Linked DNA regions of Alligator mississippiensis. The protein of the gene in region 1 purifies or fractionates together with the protein of each later gene. This does not show direct contact. Links are inferred from orthologs where the notes say so. Each region holds a gene or a part of one and is shown on either strand. Other genes may lie near its edges.

What was found. Proteins that work in one complex are often made in the same cells at the same time.
Region 2: the proteins of PXN (region 1) and CTNNB1 purify together in Homo sapiens (affinity purification with western blotting; 3 studies listed by BioGRID and IntAct, with this or other methods). This does not show direct contact. The link is inferred for Alligator mississippiensis from reciprocal best matches to the Homo sapiens genes PXN and CTNNB1.
Region 3: the proteins of PXN (region 1) and ITGB1 purify together in Homo sapiens (affinity purification with western blotting; 3 studies listed by BioGRID and IntAct, with this or other methods). This does not show direct contact. The link is inferred for Alligator mississippiensis from reciprocal best matches to the Homo sapiens genes PXN and ITGB1.

The regions. Positions count from the first base shown.
Region 1 is NC_081833.1:21,181,963-21,188,856, reverse strand, and holds the start of PXN (paxillin), read right to left. Parts: upstream 3,010-6,894; 5' UTR 2,869-3,009; coding exon 2,856-2,868; intron 2,845-2,855; exon of another isoform or gene 2,308-2,844; intron 2,215-2,307; exon of another isoform or gene 1,829-2,214; intron 1,495-1,828; exon of another isoform or gene 1-1,494. UniProt on the Homo sapiens protein: Cytoskeletal protein involved in actin-membrane attachment at sites of cell adhesion to the extracellular matrix (focal adhesion). Recruits other proteins such as TRIM15 to focal adhesion.
Region 2 is NC_081828.1:136,000,829-136,008,334, forward strand, and holds the start of CTNNB1 (catenin beta-1), read right to left. Parts: upstream 3,015-7,506; 5' UTR 2,907-3,014; intron 1-2,906. UniProt on the Homo sapiens protein: Key downstream component of the canonical Wnt signaling pathway.
Region 3 is NC_081828.1:193,421,640-193,429,118, reverse strand, and holds the start of ITGB1 (integrin beta-1), read left to right. Parts: upstream 1-4,465; 5' UTR 4,466-4,567; coding exon 4,568-4,576; intron 4,577-7,479.

The DNA.
Region 1 (6,894 bases):
TTGCAATCCCAAAAAACAGCACAGAACCAGAAAGTTTTAAAGTCACTAAAGAAGAGCTCTTAAAAAAAAAAAACAATTTTCAAATGTGACTTACTAAAATAATTAAAAAGCACAAAATCTAGTAGAGGTTTGCAAAGTCTGCAGCTCCATCCTGTCAATGAAGACAGTTTATGGGTACTAACATCTACCTCAATACTTGAAAATCCAAATTTTGTAATGATGTGTAGTCCACAAGAACCAGAGACAAAGAATTCAGTGAAACAGACTTTTTTTGTCTAAATCACTGGTGCTCAACCTCCAGTCCACAGGGCTCTCCATGAGTTTGGAAATTTGGTGGCAGGGGAGAGATGGCAACATTAACTGCTGTGGCTCCCCTGCGGGCCAGATGACAGTCCCATGCACTGAATTCAGAGTCACTCCATAGCCAAATCCACTTCATGACCAGATCAGGCACATGGAGTCAGGCCAGCGCATGGTATCAATACACAGTCAGATCCAGTGCGTGGAGCCAGATGGGTGTGCCAGACTGCACCTGCAGATGACCCTGTCTGCTGACCCTGGCTCAGGTCCATGGACTGATCTCACCCATGGGATTCATTTAGTCCACAAACTAGCCCCATTACCATACACCTAGGCAGCCTGCGGGGCCAGAAGGTTGCACACCCCTGGTCCAAACTAAGTGAAAAGCACCACACATCATCCCGAACAAAAAGTAATTGAGAGGTTAAAACAGTATCATACAAAGTTTGTTTGGTTTTTTTAATGAAGTTCACTGTCTAGTAAAAATTATATTTTATTATAGAAGGAAGAGCAATTCCTACACAGAGCTTGCTTCTGCCACGCTATAAGGAAAGACAAGGACACCTAATCAAGCTACATCTCCAATTGACTGAAGAACTGCAAATGTAAGACTATCCCCAGATGGCAGGTCCAATACTGTAACTACCTAGGAAATAAGTCAGGTTTCTTTATTGTGAGTGTGATAGATTCTAGTAAGCTGGTTATATGGATACCTGGTCGGACCCAACAGAGCACCACAAGCGCTCTCTTCAGTGTCTTAGTCTGCCATCTAATATAATCACAAGTATGAGTATTTGGTGGTTCTCATGCTGGGAGTGCCCATGTCATCCTTTCCTGCTGTACATCGCACTGCATTGTTCTCTAGTATTCTAGAGGCAGAAGAGGAGGTGATCCTGCAATTAGGGCTTTCCCTCCTTTTCAGACTGTAATTGCAGTTTACACACTAGTGGATAATATTTTTAAAAGAAACTGGTTCACTGTCATTCTTAATCAGCATTCAAGCATGTCCCCATCTTGGAAGATCCAGACGAGATGTGTGTCCAGATCTGCTAACTGCTCAAACTCCTCACCCTTCCCCCAATACGGTCTCACACAAAGAACACGCAGGCTTCCCACTTGCTGGGACGGACAAGTGCCATCTGCAGAACTCTTCACCAGCGTTTCCTGCACGCTGCAAAACAGATTTCTCCGATGCTGGAGAGGAAAAGGAAAAGCAATAGCAAAGCTTTACCTGTTCTAGATTACCCAGTCCCTAAAAACCAATCCAAATCAAGTCCCTTCACCTGCTGTGTTCAGCTTTTGAGATCTCCAGTCCCAGAAGCAGGAAAGCTGCACTCTTGCTGGTCATTCTTTTTTCATTAGATCAAAAAGTTTAAAAGATATAGGGCCAAATTCATCCAGCGTGTAACTGCACTCACTTCAGTGGAGCCTGAATTTGGCTTGCACCACTCAACACACTGCCCCTCCCCTGTATATGACCCAAGGCTAAGACTTTGACACTACCATTGCTCTGCAAAGGAGAAAGCAACTAGCCTTGGAGCTGGGTTGTTTCTTGATGAAACAGTCTGTAGGCAGGAAAAGTTATTAAGAGGAAAGAAGTATTTCCCTTTTCTGTTTGTTTGTTTTTCCTTCCATAAAATATTCAGACCTTGCCTCTTCCTGCAAGACTCTATGGACAAACTGAGAGCTGGTTGCCAGTAACACAAGAGTGAAACCGGTGCTGCTCAGATAGGAAGAGATTTTTATTCAAACTGCTTAAAACTCCTGCTTTGTTGCTGCTTGTGCTCTACATGCTTCACATCTAACCAGAAAGGACTAGTTAAACCAAAGCATGAAAAAGCCTCAAGACCTCTAAGAAGTCTTCCAGAACAAGCAGAGAAGAAACTCAAAACATCAGGCATCCATCCCCCTAAGGTAAGAAACAAATAATAAAACTAAACTAAACTTGGGGGGAAGGGGTGGCTTCTCTACACATGGTAAAGCAGTGCAGAGAGGACAGGAGCCCACCTTTCCAGACCACCTTTGCAGTTCACCTTAAATCCTCCCACTGATGAAGGGGGGGAAATAAGCAACTGCTGAAGTAAAGCACAGGTCAGTTGGCAGAGCCCCCCCGCCGCCGCCGCCTCGGTGAATCTGAGGAATGCAACAATTGCAGCTGGCACCGCTCAGCTCCCACGGTGTGAGGCCATCGCCGGCTCCGCACCGGCCCGGCCCGGCGCGGCCCGAGCTGTCTGCGGGCGAGCAGCCGCCAGGGGAGTCCCGCCGGGCAGTGCCGGGCCGGGCCGGAGCAGAACCACGTCCTCGGGCCGGGGAAGAAAGCGCAGAGCACGGGGCGGCCTCCCCCGGGGCCCCAGGCGGGGAAGCCGAAGCGCGCAGAGCCCCGCGCCCCGGGGCTGGAGCAGGCCCCCGGGGGCCGCCCACGAGCCCCGGCCGCTGCGAGACTCCCGGAGCGGATCCGGGCCGGGCCCGCGGGGAGCAGCTCGGCCGGGGCCGGGGCCGGGGCCGCGCGCGGGAGGAGGCTGCGGCGCGGCCGGGCCGGGCCGGGCCGGACTCACCCAGATCGTCCATGGCAGGGCCGCTCCACTCCGCTCCGCTCCCGCCGCACAACTTCGGCCGCCGCCGCCCCTGCTCTGCTCTGCTCTGCTCCGCTCCGCTCCGCTGCCGGGCGACTCCCGGGCGGGCTGCTGCGCGGGGCCGGCGCTGCCCCCTGCCGGCGGCCGCCCGGCTCCTCCCTCACGGCGGGGCGGCCCCAGGCACCTCCGCGAGGCCCACCCCGGCGCCCCGCGTACCTCAGGCCCGGCCCACGCGAGCGCCGCGCCCGCAGGCGGCGGGAGGAGGCGGCCGGGCCCTGCGGGCTGTCCGGAGCACGAGGCCGCGTCTCCCGAGGCTGGCGGGGCCGGGGGCGGTTCGGCCCGGAGCCGGGATCGGGCCCTGGGGACGCGGGGGCGAGCAGGGTCTGAGACACTAGAAAGGGCAGAGCGAGCACTAGCACGAGAGGGGCACGGAAATACCCGCCCTGCTCCTGGCTGCTCAGGCCTTACCCTGAATCCAGCCGAGGCAGCGCGGTGTGTATGGATGTTGCTTGGTGCAAATATCAATCAAGCTACAGGTTTGGGCACATCATGGACTTGGTTAAGGGGGGAGTTCCCAGTAAGCGAGACAGCGCGCACTGGAAACGCCACGTGCGGGTATTGTTCCCTTGCCGCTCTCTGCCAGTCGACTACCACTGGTGTCACGTGCTTAAATGCTCCCTGGAATAGAGAAGTCCAAACACAGAAGGGGAGTTTTGCTGCAAGGAAAGTCTAAATTCACCAGCAGAGGTTTTCTTCCCCTGCCCTGCCTCAGCCGCTGTCTGGAATCAACAGATCGCTTCCAGCGAACAACAGGCACCTTCCCTGATCTGCATCAGGCTTGGAACAAAAAAGGATGCCGTGTTGCATTTGTAGAGAAGCCGAGTTTGCAACTGTTATCTTTAAATTCATAGAGACATTTAGCAGTCCAGAGTTTAGTACCAAATATAATACATTGTAAAGCAAGAAGCCTGTGTCCCACAACAAGGACACCCAGGTAGGCTAAGCCAAGCTAATTTTTAAGCACTCAGTTGAAACAGATGAAGGCAGATTTACTGTCAAATATATCAGTCCTGTAGCAAACAGTGCTATTAAGAAGGAGAATTAGGGTATGCCCATAACAGGAAGTGTTGTAAGGACAACAGCACAGATGGGGAGATCCATTAAGATGTACAGCACAGGGCAGGAGTAAAAAGCAGAACAGCAGATCAGGCAGGGGAGGGGGATCAGAATGGCACTAAGGGAGGGTGTGGAGCTTAATTTGGGTCACATCTGCTGAAAAGGTTGGCCCTCACGATAGTCAGGCACCACTCTGTAGCACAGACACAGACGAGCATCACTTGGGTGCAGCTAGTCATAGAGAAGTAGAGCTAGAAGGGACCTCCAGAGGTCAGCCAGTCCAACCCCCTGCCTGAGGCAGGATCATCCCTGTCCAAACCATCCCATACAACCGTAATTTAAACTACATCAGACTACCCTCAACCCTGACACAACATAGACCTAACACCCTAACCTGCTAACTACAGGTAAAGCAGGGGAACCACGGCAGCCAGCATCCTGCTTCTGTGAAATGTTGTCAATAGACTTCTTTTATATATATATATATATATATATATATATATATATACACACACATACACATCATCTAGTATAAAACTTTCCATCACACCTTAAACCACATTAAGAAGCTGTGCACCCATTACAATAAATGCACCCACTCCCGTGCGCCCCCGCACACCGACCCATTGCCCTTCCCTAACCCAACTGCAGTCCTTTTGTCCAATCTGCTGGTTTGGAGTTTACATTCTCAGTTCATTCCCTGTCCTTGTCACTGTTGACGGCACTGTCACTTCCGCTGCTGATGATTCTGATGCTGTCTTCCTCATTGTCTCCAGGTCCAGTTGTGTCGTTGTCCTCTTCATTCTCCCTGTCTGCTCTGCCTCCCAGGGGGTCTTTGAACCAAGGGCCAAGTGTCCCTTTTCGCTCAAGAGGTCCCGGTAGAGGGCCACACCTTTCTGCTACACAGGAAAGCAAAATATCTCCACAGTCCGTACCAAGCACACAGCCCACAGTGTCCTGTTATTCAGCCCCTGGTGTTGCCCCTGGGTCTCGACTGACCCAGACCAGCCCCATGAGCAGAACCCAGGATGCATGCTGCCAGCAGCCCCCATTCCAGATGCTCTGGGAACTGTACTGCACACAGTGCTCACCCCAAGCATGAATACCTGGCACATGTACACTCACTGACCTTGTGTTTGACTCTCGGCAGAATGCCAAGAGGAAAGATGAAGAAACATTATGTGAGGCAAAGCAAGAACAGAGCAATAACGACAGGAAGGAGGGAGAGAATGACCGGAAGTCCAGGGGCAAAGGGAGGGATATGACACAGGGGCAGGTCACTGTGTGGGAGGACATTGTTATAAATTGCTGACACATTTTACTCCAGTCTACCTGGCAACCTCTGGAGAACACAGTCTTTTGAAACCTCCCGCCCTTGTCTTCCCCCGAGGTCATAGGGCGTGTCTACATGTGCTTCTATGCACGCCTAAACTTAATAGGCAGCTAGGATCTGGAACCAGCTTCCAAGGGAAGTGGTGCTGGCTCCTACCCTGGGGGTCTTTAAGAGGAGGTTTGACGTCTACCTGGCTGGGGTCATTTGAGCCCAGTTTTCTCTCCTGCCCAGGGTAGGGGGTCAGTTTTGATGATCTACAAGGTCCGTTTTGACCCTACTTCTATGAATCTATGAATATGCATTTGCCTAATGAGCATCAAGGCAATTTAGGTGTGTGTCTACAAGCATGTGCTAAGGCACATTAACGTGGCGTGAGGACTGACTCGAGACTAAAGTGAGTTCCAAGTCAATTGACATATACTGCATTAATGCACCTTAGGGTGCTTACATATTCATTAGGGCACTTTATCTATTTGTGCCTAAATTTGATCTCTGTTTTTGCAGGAATCAAATTTAGGCATGAATAGCCTAAAATTGCCATTTTTAAGGCACAGTAAGGGCCCACACATGTAGATCTGTGCCCTTAATGCACCTTAAAAATAGCTAATGCAGCTTAAATCAGCACGTGTAGATGCACCCTATGGACATAGAGTCATAATAGAACCATAGAAAATTAGGCTTGGAAAGGACCTCAAGAGGTCATCTAGTCCATTGGTTCTCAGCCTTTTTTGTACCAGGACCCTTTTATAAACATCAATGGCCAGTCCCACCCCAGTGCCCCTCGCTCCTAACCCACTGGCCCCCCATCCCCAGGTCCCAGCCCCTCAGTGTGTGGGGCTGGCATGAATGTGTGGGGCAGGGAGGGGCAGTGTGGGTCCCAAGCAGCCCCTTGCAGGCTGGAACTCTTCTAGCCTTCAAGGGAAAAGCCACGGTTTCCTACATTTTTCTCCTTTAAAGGAGAATCCATTTTTTAAGTTTCTTTTTCCATTTCTAAAGTTTGTTTGCAACCCTTGCATATATTCTTGCAACCCACTTTTAGGTCACAACCCACAGGTTGAAAAATACTAATCTAGTCCAACTACCTGCACAAAGCAGATGGACCATCCCCAGCTATATCATCCCAGCCTAGGCTTTGTCTACCCAGGTCTTAAAAACCTCTAAGGATGGAGATTCCATGCCCCACAGGTTGGATTATCTTGATATCCAACTGTTCCCTGCTTCTAAGCCAGATATCACTTTGCAATTCACATAAGTCCTGTTTGTATGTAGCTCTTAGCACTAGTTACTACAGTTCTCCAGTTACGGTGCAAAACTCCATTGGATCAGCATGGTGAGCTGCAGCGTTTCTCAAACTGTGGGTCACAACCCAAAAGTGGGTTGCAAGACTATACAAAAGGGTCAGAAACAAACTTAAAAAATGGATTCTCCTCTAAAGAAGTAAAACATGGGAAACTGTGGCTTTTCTCTTGCAGGCTGTAAGACTTCCAGCCTACAAAGGGCTTCTTACCACCCCCCCACCCCTGCTGCCCCACACACTGGGGAGCTGGGGCCTGGGGACAGTGGGTCAGGAGT
Region 2 (7,506 bases), on another chromosome or scaffold:
TAGGAAGCTGTGGAGTCTGTCCTCACATCCCAACCTGCAAACGGATTCACTGTGCTGTGGTACTTCACAAATCACCCTCAAACCCCTATAAACTGCCACAGAAATGGGGGGGGGGAGGAATGGAAAAAATAAAGTTAGAGCTGGACACAAAAATGGACTATTTTAGTCAGCCTTCCACATAGCTGTTAACCATTAGTCTTTGTGGCTTAACAACTGGATAGCTATTAGAATCAATGTTATTACAAGGAAAATGCCCATAGGAATTCTGAGAAACTGTGAAGTTAAGGCAGTAACCAGCCTGCAATTCCATTCTATCACTGTAAAATCTACAATGAAGAGTTATCTACATGAGTTAGATGCTTATTAAACAGAACTAACAGAGTGAGGCTTGACACCAAGACCAAGCTTATTTTACTAGCACTCCCTGGATTAAAGCAAAAAGACTGACTAAGCTACAGTACTTCCTCAATAGCTGCTGGATGTTGAGATTCTTGACCACTGGGGGGCACCTATATTGTTGCCAGAACAGAGCTGGCATTACCCTACAGAGCTCTATACTGTAAGGACTACACATGGCTTGGAATATTTCTAACTAGGTCATACATGCCCTATAACATGGAGCTTTATAATCCCCCCAGTTCCAGCCTGGATATACCTAGCTCAATTTTGATTCTGTCAGGGTGTACCACATGCCTAGAACAAATGCATTTTGTATTAAACAATTCAAGCAAGATTGAGTAAATTTAAGTGCCACTTTTCATTTAATAAAAAAGTAATCCTCGTTCAGCAGAAGCAGGTTTGAGAATTCTGCGATGCCAATTAAAGTCTACACCAACCTGCTCCAACATTAGCTTTATCAGGGAACTGCTTAAGGATTTGATTCAGTGCTACAGAACGAACAACAGACTACTGTACTGTACTACAAATCATGGTGATTTGGTTTTGTACTACAGCCCACACTGCTGCAATAATGCTCCATCTAGTTGATGTCATTAGCCCCATCTTATTCATAGCAGCCCCAAACATTAGGGTTTTAGCTCTGAGCCTCTGTGGCATACAACCTACGGTACTGAGGTGGGGGGGGGGGGGGAAGGGGGGTGTTGGGGTTTTTTTTGTGTTTACTTTAAAAAAAAAAAAACTTAACATAAAAAGAACTGGAGAAAAGAGCATCTCATCATGGAGCCTGCATTCATCAAAATGATAATGAACTTAACATCTGCTCACACTATACTATATTAAGCAAGTTTGGTATATTATGCTGACAGTTATCCAAGTAATTATTTCCATCAGCTATGAAAGCCAGACTATATTAATGCTATAAATTAAGTTAATTTTTAAGGGTTGTCACCTTGTTGGTCTCAGGACATCTGCAGACAAGGTTCTTCAAGTAGATGCGAGATCTTTTATTAGACCAACTGAATAGTTGAAAAAAAATTGTTCTTTGCAAGTTTTCAGACATAAGCACCCTTTTTCAGGCATAGGGGGAGTCTCCCCCTATGCCTGAAGAAGGGTGTTTGTGCCCAAAAGATTACATTTTTAAAGGGTTCAGAGAGTGACAGTCTAGCCAACATACCCCCAGAAACAAAGAGCAGGGCGAAAAACCTCACTATATCAATCATAACTAGTAACTCCCTATATTTAACAGCTCGCTGATAGAGAATTAACTTTGTTGTTTTAAATACAAGTCTGAGAACATGGGGGGGGGGAGAAGGCATCTTAGGTTGCAAGCTACATTACTGAAGACCTTTCAATGTCAAAGCAGCAACAAAATCCAAGCAATTTAGAGGCATAGCAAAGGGGGGGGGGGTGTTTTAAGGCACTGTAATTAGACAGACTAAGTTTCAGACACATTGAGCCCACACCTCACCATCCTTTACTACTACAATAATTTTGCTCAGTAGAAACACACGCTTCCCTGAACTAGTGGGTTTGTACAAGTCTGCAGCACAGTTCAATGCAGCCTGGTTTTGAACCTACTTCACTGCAGCTCAACTGCCATACAGATTTTTCTAGTCACATGCCAATACACACACCATTTCCCCCCCTCCCAACTAGACCATCAGGGAGCCAATTAAGTCTGGTTTCTCTTACCAAAGTTTGTTTTACAGAACCTTGATCAAGCAAAAAACCTGCTCAAGGGCAGAGGAAGCTTAAAATAATGAGGAGTGAGGTCATATTCTTCATGTGCTGTTCACAACAGGCAGTTTAATGATGTTTCTAACAAAAAAGTTTTGTTGTGGCCGCCTGTGCTGTCACCACCGTCCTGCTGTTCCCAACCCGAACTATTGTGAACTGCTTCCAAACGCACAACAACTTCAGTTACAGACGCGCCGCCGGTCCCCTGCAGCCTCCCGTCCAGCTCCACACACTGTCTGCAGGGTTTGTTGCCGAAGCGGAGAACAGACCGCCCCACTCGGCTTCTCCACCACACAAAAGTCCGGGGAGCCCCAAGTTGGCTGCAAAGCGGAGCGGGCTCCCGGCACTGCTTCCTCTCTCCCTCTCCTTCCCGCCCCCTCGCCCCGGGGGCCACGGCTTGGGATCCAGGCGGCCCATTCCGGGCGCTGCAGCCCGGCCCCAGCCCCTCCCCTGACTGAGGAGTACTTTCTCAAAACAAACCCGCTTTCCCCAGCGCCCTGCCCTGCCCGCCGGCCGCAGCCCTGCCGGGAGCCCGGCTCGGGTTACAGCGGGGTCAGCGCAGAACAAAGGGCGAGGGAGGCCCCGACCCGGCCCCTTCCCGCGCCCGCCCGGGACCGCACCGGCCCTTTGTACCGAGGGGCGGCGTCCACCCGGGCCCGCGGGCCCCAAAACGGCCGGGACGGAGCTGCTGTCCCCCGCGGGCTCCGCCGCCCCGGTCCGCCTCGCCACAGACGCAGCCCCCCAATCCCGCTCGGGAGCGCGGCACTAACGCTGCAAGCGTGGGGTTCCTCGGCCTCCGGCTGCCGCCGCCGCTCGGGCGATCCCGGCTCCTCTGCTCCCTCCTCCGCCGCCGCCGCCACCGACCTGAGCGAGAAGCTTAAAATGGCGCCGCGCACAAGGCGGCTCTTATAGTGCGCGGATGTATCCATCCGCCGCGCGCAGCGCTCTACAGCCTGGGCGGGGCGCCAGGAAGTAGTGCCCGGCTCTTGACGCGGAGGGACACGGCGGCGCCTCGCGTGGGCCGTGGAGGGGGGGCGGTAGCTGCGGAGGGCGGTGGCAAGCGTGGGGTGGAGGCGGGGCAGGGATCCAGCCCCGAGGGGCGGAGTGATACCTCCGGGCCGGGCCGGGGGCTCAGCCGGTTAGAGGCGGCCTCTCTTAAAGGAGCCGGGCCGACTCTGACAGAGCCCGTCGCGGGGTGGAGGAGCCGTAGGGACACGCCCTGAGGTGCGGGACCCGTCCTGGGAAGCACCCCCAGCCCTTTTCGGCTGCGCGGCTTCACCCTCACACCAGCGGCCGGCACGCGGCCCGCGGCCCGCTTCCTCCCGCGGACACGGCCCCGCCGTGCGAGGCGGAGCTCCGGTCCGGACAGCTCCCTCTGGCGCACAGGCCCGGCCCGGCGGGGCTCCTGGGTAGCGGAGGTCACGTAGGCTGGCAGGGCCGAGGGGCCGGGCGCGGGACAGGGGGCAACGACGGAGGCGCCTCCTTGGCGGCTGAGCCTCTCGTCCTTCTCCCCCTCTCCCGGGGCTTGGGCCCGTGTCCTTGCAGCCCCGCAAGCGCCTGGGCCCGGCGAGGGGCAGGTCAGGGCTGGGGGTTTCGCCCTCTGCCCTGGCTGCTGACCCGCCCCAGCCCAGGCAGCTGCAGGGGGCAAAGCCACGCTCCCTTCTGGACCTGCAAGCCCTTCTGAAATGCAGCCCGTGCTGCAAGCTCCTGGCACAGTAGGCACCAGGATTTTCCCCTGCTTTAAGTGTCCAGTTGCTTAGGACTCAGAGCTGGTGGCAGAGATGATATCTTTCATTAGACCTACTAGATATTTGCAAAAAACAAAAGATTTGCAAGCTTTTGGGCACACTTGCCCTTCCTCAGGCATAGGAGAGTGCAAAGATTGTAAAATTTCTTTTAAGTGAAGATGAGAACTCGCATTTCACAGGAGAGCTGGAGGTGTAAGATCGAGTGTTTTGGCTGAGACAAGAGCTTGGTTCTTTGTCCAGCTCTTTTCCCCCTTCCTGCTTGGGGGCCATCCCGGGTGCCTCGGTTTCACTCTGTGAAATGGGGATAATGCTGCTGACTGACCCACTTTTCACCCCCCGGGATCAAAGATGCGATCCAAGTTCAAAGTGTGGCTGCTGTAGGGTGTTATTGCCAAATTTATGATAAGCGCTTCCATTAGGTATTTGATAACAACAGGAGAATCAGTCAAACACTCTTGATGCATCGCATGGTCCCAGATACCTTTAAGAGCCTCTTTGTGTGCCATCCCACCCCCTGAGGTCCGGGAGGATGGGGCTGGTGGAGCCTGGATTGCAGGAGCAGAAGGGGTACAGTCTGTGTCCTTGCCTCAGGCCCCTGAACTATGGAATGCTTTTCTTTTTGACCTGGAGAGGACTACTGGATTTAGCCCCTTTTAAAACAGGTTGAAAAACCCTCCTTTTTTAAATTTCAAAAGGCCTTTGGCACATAATGTTAGCTTCATAGTGATTTTTAGAGTTGCTTTTAATCTTGCATATTTTTTAGGCATTTAATCTGTTCTTGTGTTGTTGCAGAGGGCTTAGGATACTTTCATATTTAGACACTATGCAAATAAAAAAAATGTTTTGGTTTGGCGTTGCAATATTTAGTTAACCATTTAGTACAATGTCACTCTTCTGGAGCTGTCTGAGAGAGCCATTATTACTTCATAGCTATATGTAAATGTTATAATTGACTTTGACATAACACTCTTCTGTTATGTTGCAAATGTTTATAAATGTTTCCAAATGTTTATAAAATACAGTGTGATATGGTGTAGAAAGGAACAAAAACAGATTTTGTTTTGGATATTACAGTGTAAAGCTACAATTAATGAATACATCAACAATCAAGTTATATCCATCAATCTAAGGAATCATTTTTCCCCGAAAAGCAATCACTATCCATATAGCTCCAGAAGTTTCTTTGGAGCTAATTTATACTTTAATAGGTTTGTCTTGGGGATTGTTTGTTAGTCGACTATGCTGCAGACACTTTTTTTTTTTTTTTTTCCCCCAAAAGGTCAAACAGCCTTCTAACATGACCATTGTGTATCACTGCAGTGAGAAATCCTCAATGCAAAGGAGAACTTCATGGTTAAATTTTATAAGATAATGATTCAGATCTTTTTTGTTAGTTAGCCTCTCAGACATCCTTAGCGTTGCTTTTGCCTGGTCAGTGATTAACACCCTACAACACAGAAAGGAAAAAACTGGGGAAAAGTGGGTTAGAGGTAAATTTAGTTGACTACCATTCCCTCTGAGGATATTGGAATATAACTATGTCTTTTTAAGGCACACAGTAAAGAAAGATTAGCAATGGCTATAATACATACCCCCCCAAAAAGTAACAATGAAAGAAATGTCTAAGACGTTGGGCCTGAATCTTTGATTTTTCCAGACGCATCTTAAAAACATATGCATAATGGCTTCTAACCATGCGAGTTTTAGGAGCAGTTTTAAGAATCAATTACAAGTTTTGTTTGTTTGTTTGTTTTTTTTAATTATGACTGGTGATATGTTCAGTTTATCAACAACAAAATAAAACAAGCTGGCCATTTCACAAAAAAGAAAAAGGAAAAAAAATACTACTTTCTCTGGACTAAAGTTTTGGTAATATAAAGGAACAAATATTTTGTACCTTGGTATAGTAGACAGAGGAAAAAGACTGTAGAGGCTTGCAAATGTTTAAGTACTTGATTTGAGATATATAGCTAATCAAGTTAATGCCTGCTGCTTAGTTGAGAATTGTTTTATTTTAAAAGGGGGAAACTTTTCTGTAATAAGGCAAATGGGTGCACTGGTCAGATTTGACTTTGGTAAAATACCTACTGTGTGCAGGCACTTCAGAAAAGAAAAAAAAATGAATAAATTAGACAAGTGTGATTATTGGCCAGGTTTGAGTTTCCTCAGAATTATGAGACAAAAATGATACAGAGCCTTAACTGGAGATCATCTATCTTAAAATGAAGGCAGACGTTAAAATATTATTTATAAACTGACACGAAAGTCAAACTACAGTAGTTGATTGAAAGAATATAAAGCATATAGTACTCTAAGTATTATTTTAAGTATAAGAAACAGACATTAGTAATGAATAGATTTTATTTCATGGGGGGGGGGGAATTAAAGGATTATTCTCTCTCTTTACTTTTTCATTCTAGATTCTTATAACATGCATCAATGTTACATGCCTGAATACAATTTGTGTGAATTCAGCAACAGTTTAACTTTATATTTAAGGTATGTTTCAGTTACTGAAAAAAAGTGTCCAACTGATCTAGCAGCTGAGGGATTACTCATCACAATATCTGATTACTGGTATATTAAGCAGCAGACACAGCAAAAATGAGCAAACATGAAGCTATGTACTTTCCAAATAAATATATTTTAACGATTGCTAATCAAATGCATAATATCAGCAATGATTTACATTTTATAAAATAGAAATGGCCAATTATGAACGAAGTCAAAAGAAATCCTCAGCTCTGTTCCCCTTTTGAATTTGTCGTGTCTAGTATCCCACAGAGCTTCAGTTTTCTTTTAAAAATATATCTGACTCCTACTGATTAGGTAACTTGCCTTACTAGCTAAATCAATATGTTACTGCTATGCTCGGCCAGCCTTGCAGAAGAAACAAATGAAAACAATCGCAGTAGCAAAGGTGTGATACCTACCTTCCTCTCCCCCGCTCAACTTCATGTACATGAAACCACTGGTTTCTCATATTTGTAAGCCCTTTAAAATATCAGCAGTATATAAAAAAACCTTAAATATCAGGTCTATATAGTGAACATTAAAATAGTAAAAATGTGATTGGGTATATAAAGTTTCAGTCCTTTTTTAAAAGGGGAAAAAAAAAAGCAATTAGGCCGAATTTTCCTGTTCAAACTGACCTCTTAAACAATGTGTAATCTGAAAATGCTAAATGTTAAGGCCAGATTTTCCTATGGAGACTGACTATGTAGACTTTTCTAATTAACATGTAATCTGAAAATATTATGCATCAGGATAAAAGTTTCATTTAACGGATTTTCAGATAGGGTATTTATGGACTAGGACTTCAGATTTGCAACACATCTCATAGCTCAGTTGAATCTTTTGATTTCTTTCCAGCTGAAAAGGCTAAGTAGTTGTAAATGCCTCTTGTCCTCTAGAAAGTTGGCTCCTTTTATACAAGTAATCTCAGAATCCACTGAGCAAATTCAATGAGAATTATTATGAAAAGTTGCATTTGGGTGGTAGTTAGGGTGATTCTGTAATTATATATAGGAAATGCTGCATATATCTTAGATCTTGGTTCTTGATTTCTTAGTAGCATGAAACATGGATAGAACCATAATCTAGAAGTACATATTTACGGTCA
Region 3 (7,479 bases), on another chromosome or scaffold:
TTAGAAAGTCAAACTTATTCATGGTATGGAAAAAATCAAGGTTATAAAGTGCAAGATCCTAATTTCCCGGTACTTTATACATCTTTCGAAGCTCTTGTGCAAGTGTGTGGGCTTAACAGAGTTGCAATTTCCAGGCTAAATCCTGATTTAACATGCTATATGCTGAATGCCACAGCTGTAAACATAAAGCCAATGGGAGCTGAAAATACCTAGCACATTAAAAGGAATTTGCTTTGCACCTTGCAAGATGAGAATTCTAGCAAGTAAAGCACAGTAAACAGATTGTCAACTCCAGTTCTCCTACTAGGCAGCAAGTACATGATGACTCAGTCCATGCAGTCTCTTCTCTGTGGTTACATACCCTAATTCCGATGTAAATGTGGGACTCTATAATGGCCGCATTGTGTGCTGCTGACAAGCTGCCAGTTGAAATCCACTTACTACTCCTAGAGAAGTGCTACTTATCATTAGTGAAAAGACGGACAAATAACGGCTGTTGTTATCAAAAGTAATGACCACCACCTTTCAGCACCATCAGCTCTTGTATTAAGTGACCCTATTTTCTAATAATAAATTCAGTGTTAAGCTAGTCTTTACGTTTAGCAACTTCTTCATTCTTGTACCATTGCAGGCACATACCCATATTCTGAAAAACTATCAGCAAGGCCGTCTAAAGATTCTCAATGTATTCCTTCCAAAAGCATATAGAACATGTAGGCAGGCATACATTAACTGGGGCAAACACAGGAGGACTGTACAGACCTGTTTTCAGGGACGGAACTGGAAAAAAAAACTAGTATAAAAGTGCTAATGTGCTTCAGTGGACAGAGCGCTGGACTTGGTTTCAAGGGACTTGGGTTCTATTTCTGACACTGACCTGTTCTTCCCTTTCTCTGTCTTGCTTATATGAACTGCAGTTTCTCTAGGGAAGGAGCCATCACCTGCCACACGCAGTACCCAACATGCGGTGTTTAGATTTCAGCTGGAACCTCTAGGCACTTCTGTAAAACTAAGTATTCTTTTATAGCACTCTATCTTTGAAAAAGTTTGCAAATACTGGCTAGTTATTACTCATATTTGTCTGCCTCAGATTATATTAATTATCCCATTTTACAGATAAGGAAAATGAGACAACAACGCTTAGGGAAGAGGTTCTCAGACTGTGGTTCATGGACCATCGGTGCTTTGGAGAGTATTTATTACTGGTGAGCTTATCAAGTTTATTGCCTGATATCAAATACATTAGAAAAATGAAAAAAAAAAAAAATTAGACATTTTTCTAAAATGACTCCTACATGCAGTCAATTACTGTACTTACCACAGAGCTATTACAGTCACACATGGGAGAGTCATGTGTGCACACTGGTGGTCCATGAAACAGTCCCTGTAGTAAAATACAGTCCACACATGAAAGTCATTGAGAACCCCCAAGTTGGGTCAGAATCAGTGGCAGGGTAATCATGAATATTGGAGCAAGATGACACCACCTAACTAAACCAGATGTGCCCACTAAGCAACTCTATACACAAAACATACTGTAAATATTTGGAAAACTGTATCTAAGATACTAGAATTCATAAAGCTGTTCCTGCCAACTTCATCATCTATGCACAGGAATTCTAAATTTTTACACAAATACAGTTACTTTTTCATTTTTATGCATGTTCTTATCCAGTATCTAACGGATGCATTTCTATTGCATCCTAGAAAATGTACCACTTTGCTGGTATTGCTAGTAGGAATGTACATTTTACAGCATGAGCATGTATTCCTTACAATATTCACAGCAAAAGAATATACACAATGCCTTTTACTTTGAGCACAAATTACTAATTATATGTCTTTGCTGCTGTGCAAGAGTAATCCAAGTAAATGTGTGAAATAGCATAGAACTATATTATTAATTTAATTCAATAATTTAAATCCACCCATTAACATTCAAATTTAGCATATATCACCTTGTAAGCAAACTCTGATCAGATTACTACCTTTATAACTGAATACAGATTTATTGTAAAAAATAATAATTTCCAACAATACTACAAAATTCTTACAAACACATTTAATTTAAAATTTAGTAACCCAGTGAAATCAGTCCTGACTTTACACAGTGGTTTTTCTCTTTGTTTACTGTGTTTAGTTGGCACACTGTTGAGCAGCACAGTCATGACTTATCTCCATGCCACAGTATACTACAACCAACGGTAGACTTTGGGGTTGCATGGGCTATGAACAATGCCAGGAAATGGAATGAGCAGATTATGTGCTGTAGTCATCCCGCCCACATGCAACCAAGAAAAGAGACCTAAATCTGATTACCTGCTCAATGTAGGTAGTGCATCTTTCCTCATCCAATTCTACCAGCAGTGAGAGATTGCACTTCAGTTAATTCACTGTTTTTCCCTATGCCAATTTGTTTGTACAGTGAATTAGTATCAGAGTGCTTAGTGAAAGACAAAGAATCAGTAAGTTGTGTCCAAAGCTCTTATCAGTGTCAACTATAGCTGATAATAGTGAGTGGCCATGAACAGGCATTCACTTCTGCTTCTACCAGTGGAAGTTTCTGAGTGATCATACAGGCACTCAGCCTGCCACCACCCTCTCCCCTTCTCAAGATTAGGGTGATCCTGGCCTAGGGTGCGGTGACTGCTCCACTTCTCCCATCCCATTCGGGGGGGGAGGGGGTGGAGCAGTGCAGAAAGGCTCCTTTACTTCCACAGACCAGACACGCAGGTCTGGGGAACAGGTGGAGTCCTTCCCTACTGTTCCACTTCCCTCCTGTAGACTGGTCAGGCAGCCAGGAAGTCACTGGCCTGGCGAAGCACAAGGAGCATTGCCCACTACCCCAGGGAGACCTTTCCCAGCCCCCACTGGGTAGCGCAGGCAGCAAGGGTAACCCAGCAGGGGCAGAAAAAGAGCTAGGAAGAGGTTCCTAAGCCCTGTTTCCGGCCCCAACATCACTACCCTGCTGGTAGTCCCTAGTTTGGGGACGAAGTAGGGGGCAGAAGTACATCACACTGCTAGTAGCTCTAATGCTGCCCTGGTAAAAAAGTGCCAAGGGCAGGGGAGTCACAGTAATTTGTATCTGCCAAGCAGAATACAGAAAGCAGACAAGTTAGTACTTTATTCCTCAAGTTTTAACCACTAGAAACCAACAGTAGCATCTACCAGAAAAGGCCTTTATTGTGTATGTCACGGTAAGATCAGTTCAGATTTCAGTGCAAGATAACTAGCATGTAGAAGAGGGATGTCAAAGATACTGCCCATGGAGCCCTATCATTCAGCCTGAGGTGCTGCCCGTGGTTCTCTGACTGGACCTAAGCACTGCATGTAGCATATGCTCCAGACCACCCAGAGGAGCTGGGTGCAGGGACAAGCAGGGCAAGACCACCCTTCTTTCTCCCTGCTCCACCCCCTGCCCCAGAGGCACAGGGGAGTTTTGTCCAGGGTGCAAAAAACTCATTAGTTAATGCCTCTACTCCTGCTTGTTTTAGGTTTATCAGAAAACCCCAACACAGACTGGAGCACGTGGCGACACACTGGTGGCAAACGAGAATAAGGAGAGGCAGCAAACAGTGGCTCTGAACCAGGGATGCCGGCAAGCTGCAGGGGGCTGCCCTGACTTGGATACGACCCAGAACCACTGCACTATGAGACTTCTCTCAGCACCAGCGCTAGTCAGGGATACAAGCAGAAATCAGTAGTGTAGACATAGTTATACCAGGAAAAAACCCAACTTTTCTTGGTACAGCTCATCTCCCTCATGGGAAGCAGCTCTAAACTTTGTCTCCAACCCACAGCTGTGCTGAGGAAGGAGCAGGCACACCAGGATGGGGTTTACTGCAGGGATACAGGCAGGGGCAGAGGGGTGCACTTGCACTCCCCCCCAAAGGTTACAACCAGCCGCCTGGCAGCGACAGCAGCCTTTCTAACCAGGCAGGGCGGAGGAGGCCGTTTGACTTCATGGCTCATTACAATCTACTGGATCCCTTCTCAACTCTTCCTTCTCTTCTTTTTACGCAGTCCCTGAAGCTGGCCTCTGCTCTGCCACACTGCTGCTCCTGGGAACAAGTGCCCATTTCTCCACCCGGCGGGTGGTTTTCCCCTCCTTGCCAGAAGCTGGATTTGGTTTTGCTGCCGTCTTCAAGGGAACAGTCCAGCCCTAGGCCCGGGCCTCTTCCCCCGCATCTCCTTCCCGTATCACCGAGGGGAAACGCGGTCCGTGCTGTTCTCAGCCTCCGCGCCCCGACCCCAGCTCCTCCACCCGCCCCCGGCCCCGGCCCCGGCCCCGGCCCGGGCCCGCCGCCTCAGGCGCTGCCCCGGCCCCAGCGCCCCCCACAGCCCGAGCCCGAGGCCGGAGAAGCGGCTCCGCCTGACGCCAGCGGGCAGGAATGCGCCCGCGCCCGCCCCCGCCCCGGAAACAGCGCGCGGGGCGCCCGGCCCGGCCCGTCCCCGGCCCCAGCCCCGTCCCGGCCCGGCCCTCCCCCGGCGCGGCGCGGCAGCACCGGCACGAGGCGGCGGGACAGCGCCACGACACGAGCCTGCGCCGCGAGGGGCCGCCACGGCCATGGCCAAGGTAGGGGCTGGGCCGGGCTGGGCTGGGCTGGGCCGGGCCGGGCCTCTGCGGCGGCGGCCCCGGGCACTTGCGGAAAGGGCCGGGGCCGCTTGTTGCGGTGTCCGGGGCAGGCGGCCCCTTGTGCGGGGAGGCCCCGGGCGGGGACAGCGCGGCCTCCGCGGCGCCGTCATGGCCGGGACAGCGGGGAAAGGAGCGCGAGCGGGCGCTCCCCGGCCCGGCCCGGCCCTTTGTGTGGGCTGGGAAGAGGTTGCCTCGGGCCCGCTCCCCCTGCTGCCGAGCGGGTAAGGGGGGCTCTTCCCCGCTCTCCGCGCCCACTGAGGGGGGGGGGGTGCGCGACTCCCGCCTGCTTCGGCGCAGGGCGGCCGGGGAGGATCCCTGGGCCCCCCGCAGGGAGCTGGGTGCCAGACCAAGGTGTGGGCCCAGTCAGGCTGGATCCTGAGCAGGCTGCCCCGGTTCTGGTTTGGTGGGGCACGTCTGGCTGCCGACTCAAGCCGTCCAGCAGGGCTTGTTTGCACTTTTGCTGGGCCTGCCTTCAGCGTGTCAAAGCAGACACAGCCGACCCGTTTAGTTGCTGGCCTGTGTCCTGGGCTATATCTGTTTTGTTACCCCAGCAAGATCTAATTCAGACTATCCCTGTTTCTGGGAAAGTAGAAGTCCCAGAGAAGGAGGCTATCACACAGCATGCGCACAGACACCACAGTTATTTCTTTATGCAGAGAGGAGATACTCAATTAGAGGTAGGATTTTTTAATATTCTGACTAAATACCACTAGTAAGTAAGTTAGGAAATATCCCCTGCAGTAGGACTTTAGCAGTCATAATAGCAATCAGCAGAGGCACAGTCTAAACTTCTACACTCATGATGATGAAACCAATGATTCATTTTCTGGTCACAAAAATATTACTTACCCCAGGGCAAATGGGTAATTGGCATTTTGCAAGACTGCCTGAAGCTAACTTGTAAGGCTTGTTGAAGCAGTGAGCAATAAGCAACACGCAGTCAAGACATGGCAAGTTTAAAGGGCGTTTTAGTCTTAGTTTCTGTCTTTTTTGAAGTATTTAAACAGTGACAGGGTTCTAGCCTGCAGGGCTGTCAAGCAGGAACCCATCTTCACAGGGAAAGAAATTACTGCTAGAAAATACTTCAGTACACTGTCTGTGGCTTAGTGGTTTGATCATGGGGTTAATACGTGTGAGAGCTGAAGTCATTTGCCTGCCTGCCCGCCCAATTTACTATGTGACCCTGACCAAAGTCACTCTCTCTCTCCACATGAGCATTAAACTAACATGAAGAAAAAGAAATGTCAATTGGATCCATCATTGATAAGCACTTTGTAATCCAATTAGAAAAATTCAGACAATAGCTTGAAGTATTCATGCTTTTTCATGATTGTTAATCTTTTATCCAATCCAGTTTGAAGTATCCCAAGTGATTGGTCATCTGATATTTCCCTTGTATATGTAGTCAGCTGGAGGACTGAGTACCATCCCCCACCCAGAGCTTTCCTGGATGTTTAGTACAAGTTTCTTTGTTCATGATTTCATCCCATAATGCCTCAGAATTCTCCTCTGTAGTCCTAGGATAGGTCTGCTACACTATACTGAAGTGTAGATGACTATGCTTCTCTGCACCACACTAAATGCCTTTGTTACTTTTGGTATGAATAACCTGTTATTTGTAAAATAGGCATCACCTTTCCCTTCACTCCCTGTCATGGTTTAGTAGAGTTGTGGTACTTATTTAGCTTTAACATCTTCATGAGAAGTTGGTCTTGTTACTATTTTCTGAAGTCTCTAGTTGTCAATTTTATTTAATTTTTAAGATGCCAGGTTACTATAAATAAGTGAGGGAAGTGCCAGGTGTAGTTGTACCAGGAACTTTAGCAGGCAGGACTGAGGTCCACTCAGAGGAGAAGTTCCTTTGAATGATAAATTCAGAATTTGCAACAAAAAGAAGAATCAGTACAAGGAGGCAGTCTCGCCCATTAGACTGTTGGCGCGGGGGGGGGGGGGGGGGGGAAGAAGAGAAAAAAACCCCAAAACAAACCACACTAGTCATCAAGCTATCATTATTTAATATTAGTCATCAAGTCGATTAACTCATATGCAGTTCCAGGCACATGGTACCAGAAGGGACAATAGGTTCAGTAAATTAAGTTTGGAACAGTCCAGCAGAGCCATAGAGCCTGGGCTTGACACAGATGGTTTCAATTTCTCTCATTCCCTGGATTGAATGAAGTTATATGGACTCCTTATGCTTTGGAGCAAATAAGGCAATAGCCAACACAGTCTAGCTGACCAACCCAACAGGCCTAGACTGAAGAAGCCCTGTCATTTTTAGCACCCCCAAGATCCAGGTAGCAGACTGCACTGTGGTTTGGCTGGATCTGGTGATGGAGCTCAGGTGGAGAATTTTTCAATCAAATACACCCAGTTTCTAGGAACATTACTACTTTAGGATGTGCTTTCACAGACTTTGTTTTAAGCATTAGTCAGAGTTTAATTTCAGCTTTTCCTTAGGAGACAGCATCAGAAGACTCCATTTGGTTCGAGACAGAAGTTCGATAAACTATTTTGACTCAAGTCTGATAGTACATTTCATAGATTTCATAGACATTACGGCTGGAAGGGACCTCGGAAGATCATCGAGTCCAGCCCCCCGCCCAAAGGGCAGGACGTCAGCTGGGGTCATAGGATCCCAGCAAGATAAGCATCCAGTTTCATCTTGAAGGTGTTCAATGAAGGCGCTTGAACAACCTCCGGCGGCAGGCTGTTCCAGACCTTGGGGGCTCGGACAGTAAAGAAATTCTTCCTTATGTCCAGCCTGAAACGATCTTGTAGTAGTTTGTGACCATTCGACCTTGTCATCCCTTGGGGCGCTCTGGTGAACACACGTTCCCCCA